2 linked regions of the Coturnix japonica genome follow. The protein of the gene in region 1 interacts with the protein of each later gene in a pairwise test. Links are inferred from orthologs where the notes say so. Each region holds a gene or a part of one and is shown in the gene's direction. Other genes may lie near its edges.

Evidence for each region.
Region 2: the proteins of BCL2L13 (region 1) and PLP1 interact in binary tests that used the Homo sapiens proteins (3 or more experiments, as listed by UniProt). The two-hybrid records come from large-scale screens. The link is inferred for Coturnix japonica from reciprocal best matches to the Homo sapiens genes BCL2L13 and PLP1.

The regions. Positions count from the first base shown.
Region 1 is NC_029516.1:50,908,559-50,912,366, reverse strand, and holds part of BCL2L13 (bcl-2-like protein 13), read left to right. Parts: intron 1-778; 5' UTR 779-883; intron 884-2,178; 5' UTR 2,179-2,244; coding exon 2,245-2,365; intron 2,366-3,808. UniProt on the Homo sapiens protein: May promote the activation of caspase-3 and apoptosis.
Region 2 is NC_029519.1:1,950,249-1,954,854, reverse strand, and holds the start of PLP1 (myelin proteolipid protein), read left to right. Parts: upstream 1-1,516; 5' UTR 1,517-1,643; coding exon 1,644-1,647; intron 1,648-2,915; coding exon 2,916-3,102; intron 3,103-3,538; coding exon 3,539-3,800; intron 3,801-4,511; coding exon 4,512-4,606.

The DNA.
Region 1 (3,808 bases):
TACATTTGCCCAAGTGGTTACTTTTTCTCAATCGAAGTTGCTTTCTGTCCATTGCTTTCCCAGGGAAATACTGGCCACTGTTTTAACAAGTCGTGACTCTGACTCTCTTCCCTCCACCCCCTCCATTGGTGCTGAGCTAAGCATGCTGAAATGTTCATGAGCCGGGCCTCACTGCTGCATGTGGATCACTGTGCTGGTGTAGGATCTCATTCCTGTTTCAACACAATTGTTTCTTTTTCCCTTTCATTTTCTCTGAAAATCTGTTTTAAAGGCTAATATTTATATGTTCAGAGTCGGTCTTTGATACGCATCACAGTGTCTGGATTTTTGTAGACCACTCATCAGGCCAGTTCTTTCTGGACAGGTCTGTACAGGTTGGCCTGAAGGGCTTCCATTCATTGTGTAGGCATTGCAGGGAGCTCTTTAGTTTCAGGACTTTGGATCTCTGTGAGCAAAACAAAACTGAAATGTATTGAGGAGCTTTTTCTTTTTGGTGAATGGCATCTTTCACATCTGGTGATGCAGAGGTTGCAGCTGGGGATCTGGCGTGAGGAATACATCTATTGTCGATGATCCTGAAGTCTCCTCAGTAGTTCTTTCCAAATCTCTCATGTTTATTGAAAGCTCAGTGTGTGATGTTGGCTGAAGGGTAGCTGCGTATTGTAGAAAAGTCATGTTTATCCTTCGCTGTAACTTCTTGCGTTTCTGAAGCATGATATGTCAAGTGTTTTCTTGAGTCTTTGACATTGATTCTTTCCTATGTAAATCACTGTTTCAGTTCTAGCTGTAGCGAGGACTCAAGTGAATGTTTCTGGTAAAGGATTTCAAGAATTTGAAATACACAAGAAGAGGAATTGCCTCCCACAATGTAGACTTCAGGAAGGTATCCTCCTCTCGTTTCAATAATGAACTAATTGCAGAAAGTGGAGTTCTTACAGTTTAAAGATAGCTAATTTTCCACCAACTCTTTTTCCCGTTACAGCTTTAGGTTTTAAACTTGGCTTGAATATTTCTTCTAAACATAACCACACTCTGAAGCTTGTAAATCCTCTAACTTCTTCAGTATCTGTTATGTTCCTGTTCTGTAGTGTGAGCGTTTGTGTTGGCCTTCCATTTGGGCATCCATTCTGATGGCCAGGTGTGAGCTGCTGCTTATCTTGGAGCGACTCTTCGAAGTGATGGAGACCTCAATGCTGAAAATTCATTTGAAAGCTCTTGTTGCTGTTGGGTTTATCAGCTTGATTGGATCCAGGCTGTTCCTTACATAAAATGCTAGAACATGTTGGTTAGTCTGACACTTTGTTTCAATCTGCTGTGTTGCTTTTTCCTCACTTACATGTTGCCTTTCAGATTTATTTAATTTTTCCTTGTCACTGATGGCTGTTTCTAATTTCTGTTTCCCCCAGCTTTTCTCGCTGTTCTTGTTTGGGTGTTTGAAGAAGCAACGATACCAATAGTGAAATAAGGTCATTCTTTGACCAGATGTTGCTGTTAGATACAGATTTCTGTTTTATGAGTATTATTGTCTGGTGAGAAATCCAGGACACACGGCCATCTGTTCTTCCAATCCCAGCAACGAATACAGAGTTTCCTGTGTTGACCGTGTGTTTTCCATTGCTGTTGGAACAGTAAAATGAGGTTGAGACAACTGAGGTTGAGACAGTTCTCTCTTTTCCTACGATCATTTCTTTTTTTGCCTCATAATATAGAATCTGAGAAAGCAAAGAGTGAGAAAAATACCCTTGTGAGGCTTAGGGGAAGGGAGTTTCCTCTGAACTTGTCCTTTTTACCTCAAACTGCAGTTAACTGAGTCTTCAGAGCCCTTCAAACCTCTTTGCTTGACTACGCCTGTGTTTTTTATATGTGGTTGAGTTGGGAGGCATTAGGAGGCAGATACGTGGTGAGGAACTCTTCAATTTGCTTTAATGTGAAAGTGTGTATGCCAGGCAGGAGTGAGAAATCCCACTGCTAACTGTGGTCAGAGCACTAGACTTGAAGGCATTTGGTTTTACTCTGCATAGTTTGTATTAAAAGAAGAATGCATAGGATATAAAGGCAAAACTCTGGATATTACTTTATGATCGTTACATAATTCCGTGTTATGTATGAGTTCATGACCTGTTGCAACTTTATAAAAAAAAGAAATGAAAAACAAACCACTCTCCTCTTTTCTTACAGTGTCCAGTAACTTAGAGAAAACCCTACGTGCCCAATAAGAGCACTGACACATTGCAAGCCAACCCGATGGCGTCCTCTACTGCTGTGCCTGTAGGATTTCACTATGAAACAAAATACGTAGTTCTCAGCTACCTGGGGCTCTTATCACAAGAAAAGCCACAGGAACATCCTCCTGCTTCAACTCAAGGTAATATTTACATGTGCCTATTGACGTATACAACTGCTTTTGCAATTAGAGCTTGAACTGTTTATGCATGTATGCAGAATGTCAGCCTGTTTTGTGTTGTCCATCTCTCTCTGAAATGAATAATAAAGTGAGCAGTAGGAGGTTCTGATCAGAACAGAGTTGTTTTGTTTAGTTTACTGTTTTAGTTTGAGCTAGGCCAGGGCTGACTGGCATTTATGAAGGTAAAATCAAGTTTTATTAGCTGTCTTCTTCAGGTTAGGAAGGATAGATTTGTGTTACCGTTGTTTGAGCAGTCTTGGGAATCTCAGGCCATGCTTGCTTTTTGGGGAAACAAATAGAATTAATGAGGGGTGAGGAGGTGTTTATATACTCAGGCATAAAGCCTGAGTGCTGACTTAAGCAATCTCATGTACTAAATAGTTTTGCCCAGTTACGTTAGCACTTCTGTTGTTGTCAGTCAGTGGCAGTGTAGGGATATGAGACTTAATCTGGCCTACACTGCGTCTATTTGTTCGTTTATTTTTAAGAAGCCGAGGACTGCATGGAGTCAGATGTTTCTTCCAGAACAAGTTTATACATACGGGAGGTTAAGCAGAATAAAATAAGTTTGACAGATTGCTTTTCATGTTCTAGGTTGTGAAACTTCCTTTATCTTGTGTTGGCAAACGTTTAAACAACATCGTTTATCCAGATTTTTTTTGCTGTTATTTGTGATGTGTCTGTTCCTTCAGAACTCCTGATGAAGGCACATTTAAAGAAAAATACTGAGCAAACATTTAAAAATATCTACTCTGTTACTTACTGAAGTTACCTGTCAGAATTGAGAAATGCTTGAAAAGAAAAGAGAGCATCGGGGATAAGGCTGAAATAGTGTTATCAGTTTGGCTCTGTAACATATGCTGGTTATGTGTGTAAAATTAAGCTTTGTATACGTGAGATGTGTCTGTTTCTTCCATTGTGACTGTATCTGCAGTCCATGAATGGTGAGATATCTTCATGCCAATGTGCTGTTTCACAAACCTCTTTGCTGGAAAAGGGGGTTATTTTAGGAATAACGACTCATACTGCATAACCCATCTGGGATAGCTTCTATAACTGGTAGTATATCGACTAAGAGTCTCAGTCTTTCTATAAATGAAAAGTTCAGAAAGGAAACTTAGTCTTAAAGATTTCTTTCTATAATTTGCTTCTAGTTCCCTTTGGAAATGGAGAGGAAACCAAACAGTTTGTTAGTACTGAAACCACTAATAAATATTTGAATTCAAGATCAGTATTAAACCTGTATAGAGAGGAAGCTACAAACGCTTATGTACAGTTTTTCTGATCAGTTAAGGAGACTTTTAAAGTACTGATTAAAGATAACAAATCTACTTTTCAGACACAATTTGGATGTATGCTTATACGGCAGCAGAGTATGGTTGCATTTGCTATTAAAATACTCAG
Region 2 (4,606 bases), on another chromosome or scaffold:
CTAATTGTATCTATATTAGCACATTTTGCAGCCTCCTGCCCTCCCCTGTGGGAAAGGGGGTTCACCCCAGTGATGGGGGAAATCAGAAGGTGGGCATCAGCCTGGCCTGGGGAAGTGGCTGTTTAAAAATAGCAGCAAGGTTCTCTGGTGTGACAATACGCACCTCCCGACATGTATGTATAATGGATAAAGGCACTGCACGCGCTGTCACTGCTCCTCCTGGGGACACCAGCACTGTGCCCACAGCCCGGGCACACAGCAGCACCCAGGGCTGATCACAGAGGCATCCTCACAGCGAAGGAGCCAGCGGGGACACACAGCCAAGAGGGGATGCTCAGAGCCTGCAGCATGAGGGGGTCCCAAAGGCTTCAGCCAAAATGCAGAAGGAAGGGATGAAATCAGACTGTGGAGCCGCCCCCCTGCAGCATGGGCAGCCCTGGGGGTGGGGGGGCACACGGGAGGGAGATGCTAACGAGCAGTAACCAATTACGGAGATTTTTGAAGGCATTTGGTGCAGAAATCGCAGCCCTGCTTCGTTGCTCACATTATCCCGGATGGCAGAAAGCTGATGCTTCCCCCCAGGGTGTTGAAATAAAATGCAAGATCTTGAATTTCTGCAGAAAGAGAAAGAAGGGCTCATCGTTTTTTTCCCCATAACATCATTTTTCCCTCTGGTGCCTGGCTCCATCCAGGCAATGCAGTCCCTTATCAGTGAGCATCAGCAGCCCCGCAGATGTGGTTTCTGAAGAGCACTGGGGGCACTGTGTGGTGCCCTGGGGACCCCCAGCCCAGCAGTGTTCCCAGCCCCAGGGACAGCCAGGCCCTGCCACAGCGCAGCCTGGCACAAAGCAGGGCATTGAGGGACACAGCGGGGCTTTGTCTGCCTGCTGAGAAGGGCCCTGTTGCCCTCTGCAGGCGTCCCCAGCCCTGTGCTGATCCCCCATGGGGGGCACCCATGGGAGATGGGCACCCCAAGGAGCTGACCCCCTCTGCTTCCCCATCCCTGGATGTGTCCCCATCCCTTGAGGACCCCATGGAGGACTCCCTCTGGGGACTGTGCCCATTGGAGCTCTGTCTCTTGTCCCACATAGAGCCCAAAAGGATGGGGACAGTGAGAGAAGAACTGCCGTGAAAGCAAGGAGAGCAGAATTCCCATCAGAACACCCACTCTGGAGCACTGAACGCAGGTGTCTGACACTTAGGGAGCAAGAAGGCAACAGAGGGGCATCACTGCATCCCACAGATCCCACATTGCTACAACTCACACCTATAGGCACTCACACCCCAGCCAGGCCTGGGGGTCCCCCTCCCACTGCACAGTGGGTGCCCTGTGACCCCCCCCCAGCCCCTTTATCCCTTTTAGAAAAGCTTTCCCTCCCCCTCCCCACCCCAAGCCCTGAAGTTCTCTGCTTTGCCCACACACAGAACGGCTGGCAGCCAAGGGGTGCAGCTGGGGGGGGCCGGGGCGGGGAGGGACGGGGGCTTGTCCCTTTAAGGGGGGTGGCTGTCACTCAGAGAGCCCTTTTCTTTGCTGGCGAGTGGGACAGGCACCCAGAGGGGACAATACAGGGTGAGGGACTGCCAGGGGAGGCGAGGGCTGCAGACAGAGCCGAGCGCACGGGGAGCTGAGCGAGTCGGGTGCCATGGGTGAGTATGGGGACGTGGGACAGCTGTCACAGCTGTGGGGGCCTGGAGCAGAGAGCCCGAGCATTTCCCCTGGCACTGGCAGGCTGTGCAGGTGATGTTCCCATGGGTGGCAGGGGAGGAAGCAGGGATGGCATTTTCCTTTCCCATGTGGCTTTCTGTCCCCTCCTGGGACAGACCCCATCCCTCCGGGAGGGTAGAGGAGCATGAGCTCAACCCAGGGCTGCAGGGAGAGCGGGGCACTGAGACCCATCACAGCTTGTGCCACTTGTGTGCCTGCAGCTCCATGCCTCAGTTTCCCCATCGATAAAATGATGTCATCCTGCTGGGTGCTCTGATGGGGGTCTCACAGCTGCCACCCTCCTCCTGCCCGCAGCACTTTGTGCAACAAGGCCCATGATGGTGCTGCACAAGGGCCCTTTTTTCTCTCCCCTTTTCTCCTCCTGCACTTTTCCATCTCTTTCCCAAAGCTGGAGGGCACACCAGGCCCTGCTGCATCCTGGTCCCCACCTGCCATCTGCCAGCAACTGCCCCCAGGTTCCCAGCAGGGAGAGAAGAAATACTAAAACCCTCAAGTCAGCTTGGTACCATCATCGTGCTGCAACGCATGCAGCTATCCATCCCTGTAGGACCTGCAGGGATCAGGGTGCACTGCTGGGAGGGGAAGGCATAAGGACCACTCCCTGGCCCCGTTGTGTCCAAGGCAAACAGGCGGGGGGGTCTCTGTGCTCCCCCACAGCGCTGCCTTTGTTCCCTGTTTGCTCTTTGGACAATCCCCCATTGTCCTCGGTGCCACCACGCACCCTTGCTCTGTGTGGGGAGGGGGGGACGTTGCTGGCCAGGACCCCAAGGCTGCCTTGTCCTTGCAAGGAGGAGATGATAGGCTCTGTAGGGTCCGTGGGGGGAGCATGGGTTTGGGACTGCTTCCAGCACTCGGAGCGCTTTAGGAACTCAGTGCACACCCGCCGGGGAGGGAGTGGAGCTGCCCCCAAGCTGTGCCCGCTCTCTGCACCCCAACCTCATCCCAGGTTCTGTAAGCACCACGGCACCATGGCAGCCCAAATAGAAACCCCTAGCACTGCGGCAGCGGGGAGCCCATTAGCAGCTTGTTGGTTTGCTCCCACTGGCATCACGCTGCATCACCCCGCATCTCCGTCTCACTCAACTGCCAGCTCCCCAGCACCCTGCACTGCTGCTCTTGTAGCACCACCACAAATAGTTTCAGCATTTTTCCCTTTATCTCCCTAAAATCCCCCCTTGTGGCCCTGCAGGTCTGTTGGAGTGCTGTGCCCGCTGCCTCATCGGGGCACCCTTCGCCTCTCTGGTCGCCACCGGGCTCTGCTTCTTTGGGGTGGCACTGTTCTGTGGCTGTGGGCACGAAGCCCTCACCGGCACCGAGCAGCTCATTGAGACCTACTTCTCCAAGAACTACCAGGACTACGAGTATCTCATCGATGTGTAAGTAACGGCGCGGGGCTCCTCGCGTCTCCATTGCGCGTGATGTGCCGCTGTCACCCGGCTCTGCTGCCACCCACTGGGGCCGACACCACGCAGGCTGTGCTCAGCCCTGGGCAGCCTCACACCGGCGCTGTTGCCCCGTGGCAGATGCTCCATTTCTTTTCACCCTGTTCTTATCTGACCCACGCCAGGTGCTGTGGGGTGCACAGGACAGACGCACCAGGTAGGTATGGGGGCAGCAGGATGTCCTGCTTAGCAAGGTGCTGCTCCCCCTCATCAGCTCCACTTGGGGACAGCAGCTTTGTCCCCACAGGAGGTGACACCCCACTCCAGCTCCCCCAGGGGTGTGTTGGGCTTGGGGAGGGTAAGTGGGGCTGCACACGGGGCTGTGTGCCGCAGCACTGCCTGAGCATCCCCACCGCTCCTCTCCCCATAGCATCCACGCTTTTCAGTACGTCATCTATGGCACAGCCTCCTTCTTCTTCCTCTATGGAGCCCTGCTGCTGGCTGAAGGCTTCTACACCACCGGCGCCGTCCGGCAAATCTTCGGGGACTACCGGACCACCATCTGCGGCAAGGGCCTCAGCGCAACGGTAACTGGGGGCCCGAAAGGGAGGGGAGCGCGAGGCCCCCAGCGAGCTCACTCTTTGCAGCGGGTGTGTCAGTGTTTGGGAAAGTGGCTAGGACATCCTGACAAGGTGATCTTAACCGGGGTTTGGCACCCCATCGCGCGCCTGCAGCGGGTTTGGCGTTGGCTGAAGGGCAGGAGATGGCGACCGCCCGGGGGTCGGGGTGTACCGAGGGGAAGCGCAGCCTGACAGCCCTCCCCGAGGCCAACTGTGTGCCCAAAGCAGCCAATTTGACCATGGCATTTGCCCCCAAACAAATTGCTCTGTGCTTAGGGATCACCCGGCAGAGCCGCAAGCATCCCTGCAAGGGCAGTGCATGCTGCCACTATGGCTGTCCTGCATGGTGCCCGAAGACTGGTGCCCTAGTGCTGGGAATGGCCTTGGGGAGCAGAGGGGAATGGCTGCGGTTCCCTTTGGGTTCGGTTGGGGTGGCACCATGGAGGGAGGGCAGCAGAGCGGCGTTGCTCAGCTCAGGGGTTTTGCAGCTGCTCTCCCGCAGAGGTCAAACCCTGCTGGCCGCAGAAATCCCCTGGTATGGGAAGGGGCACCATTGTGCCACAGCTGGTCAGTCCCACGTGTGTGTGGTCGGCCCCAGTGCCGCCCAGCTCGGGCTGGCGGTCCATTGGGTGCATGGGGCTGTGTTGGGCACAGTGGGCAGTGCATCCCGGCCCTTCACCTGCCCTGTGCCCTGCCCGCCTGGGGACCCTCGCGCTCCCCTGTCCCCATTCCCAGCCACGCTGTAACCCCCTCTGTGCCCTCGCCTTGTGCTGCCCCTTGCAGTTTGTGGGCATTACATATGTCCTGACCATCGTCTGGCTCCTGGTCTTCGCCTGCTCCGCCGTGCCCGTCTACATCTACTTTAACACTTGGACCAC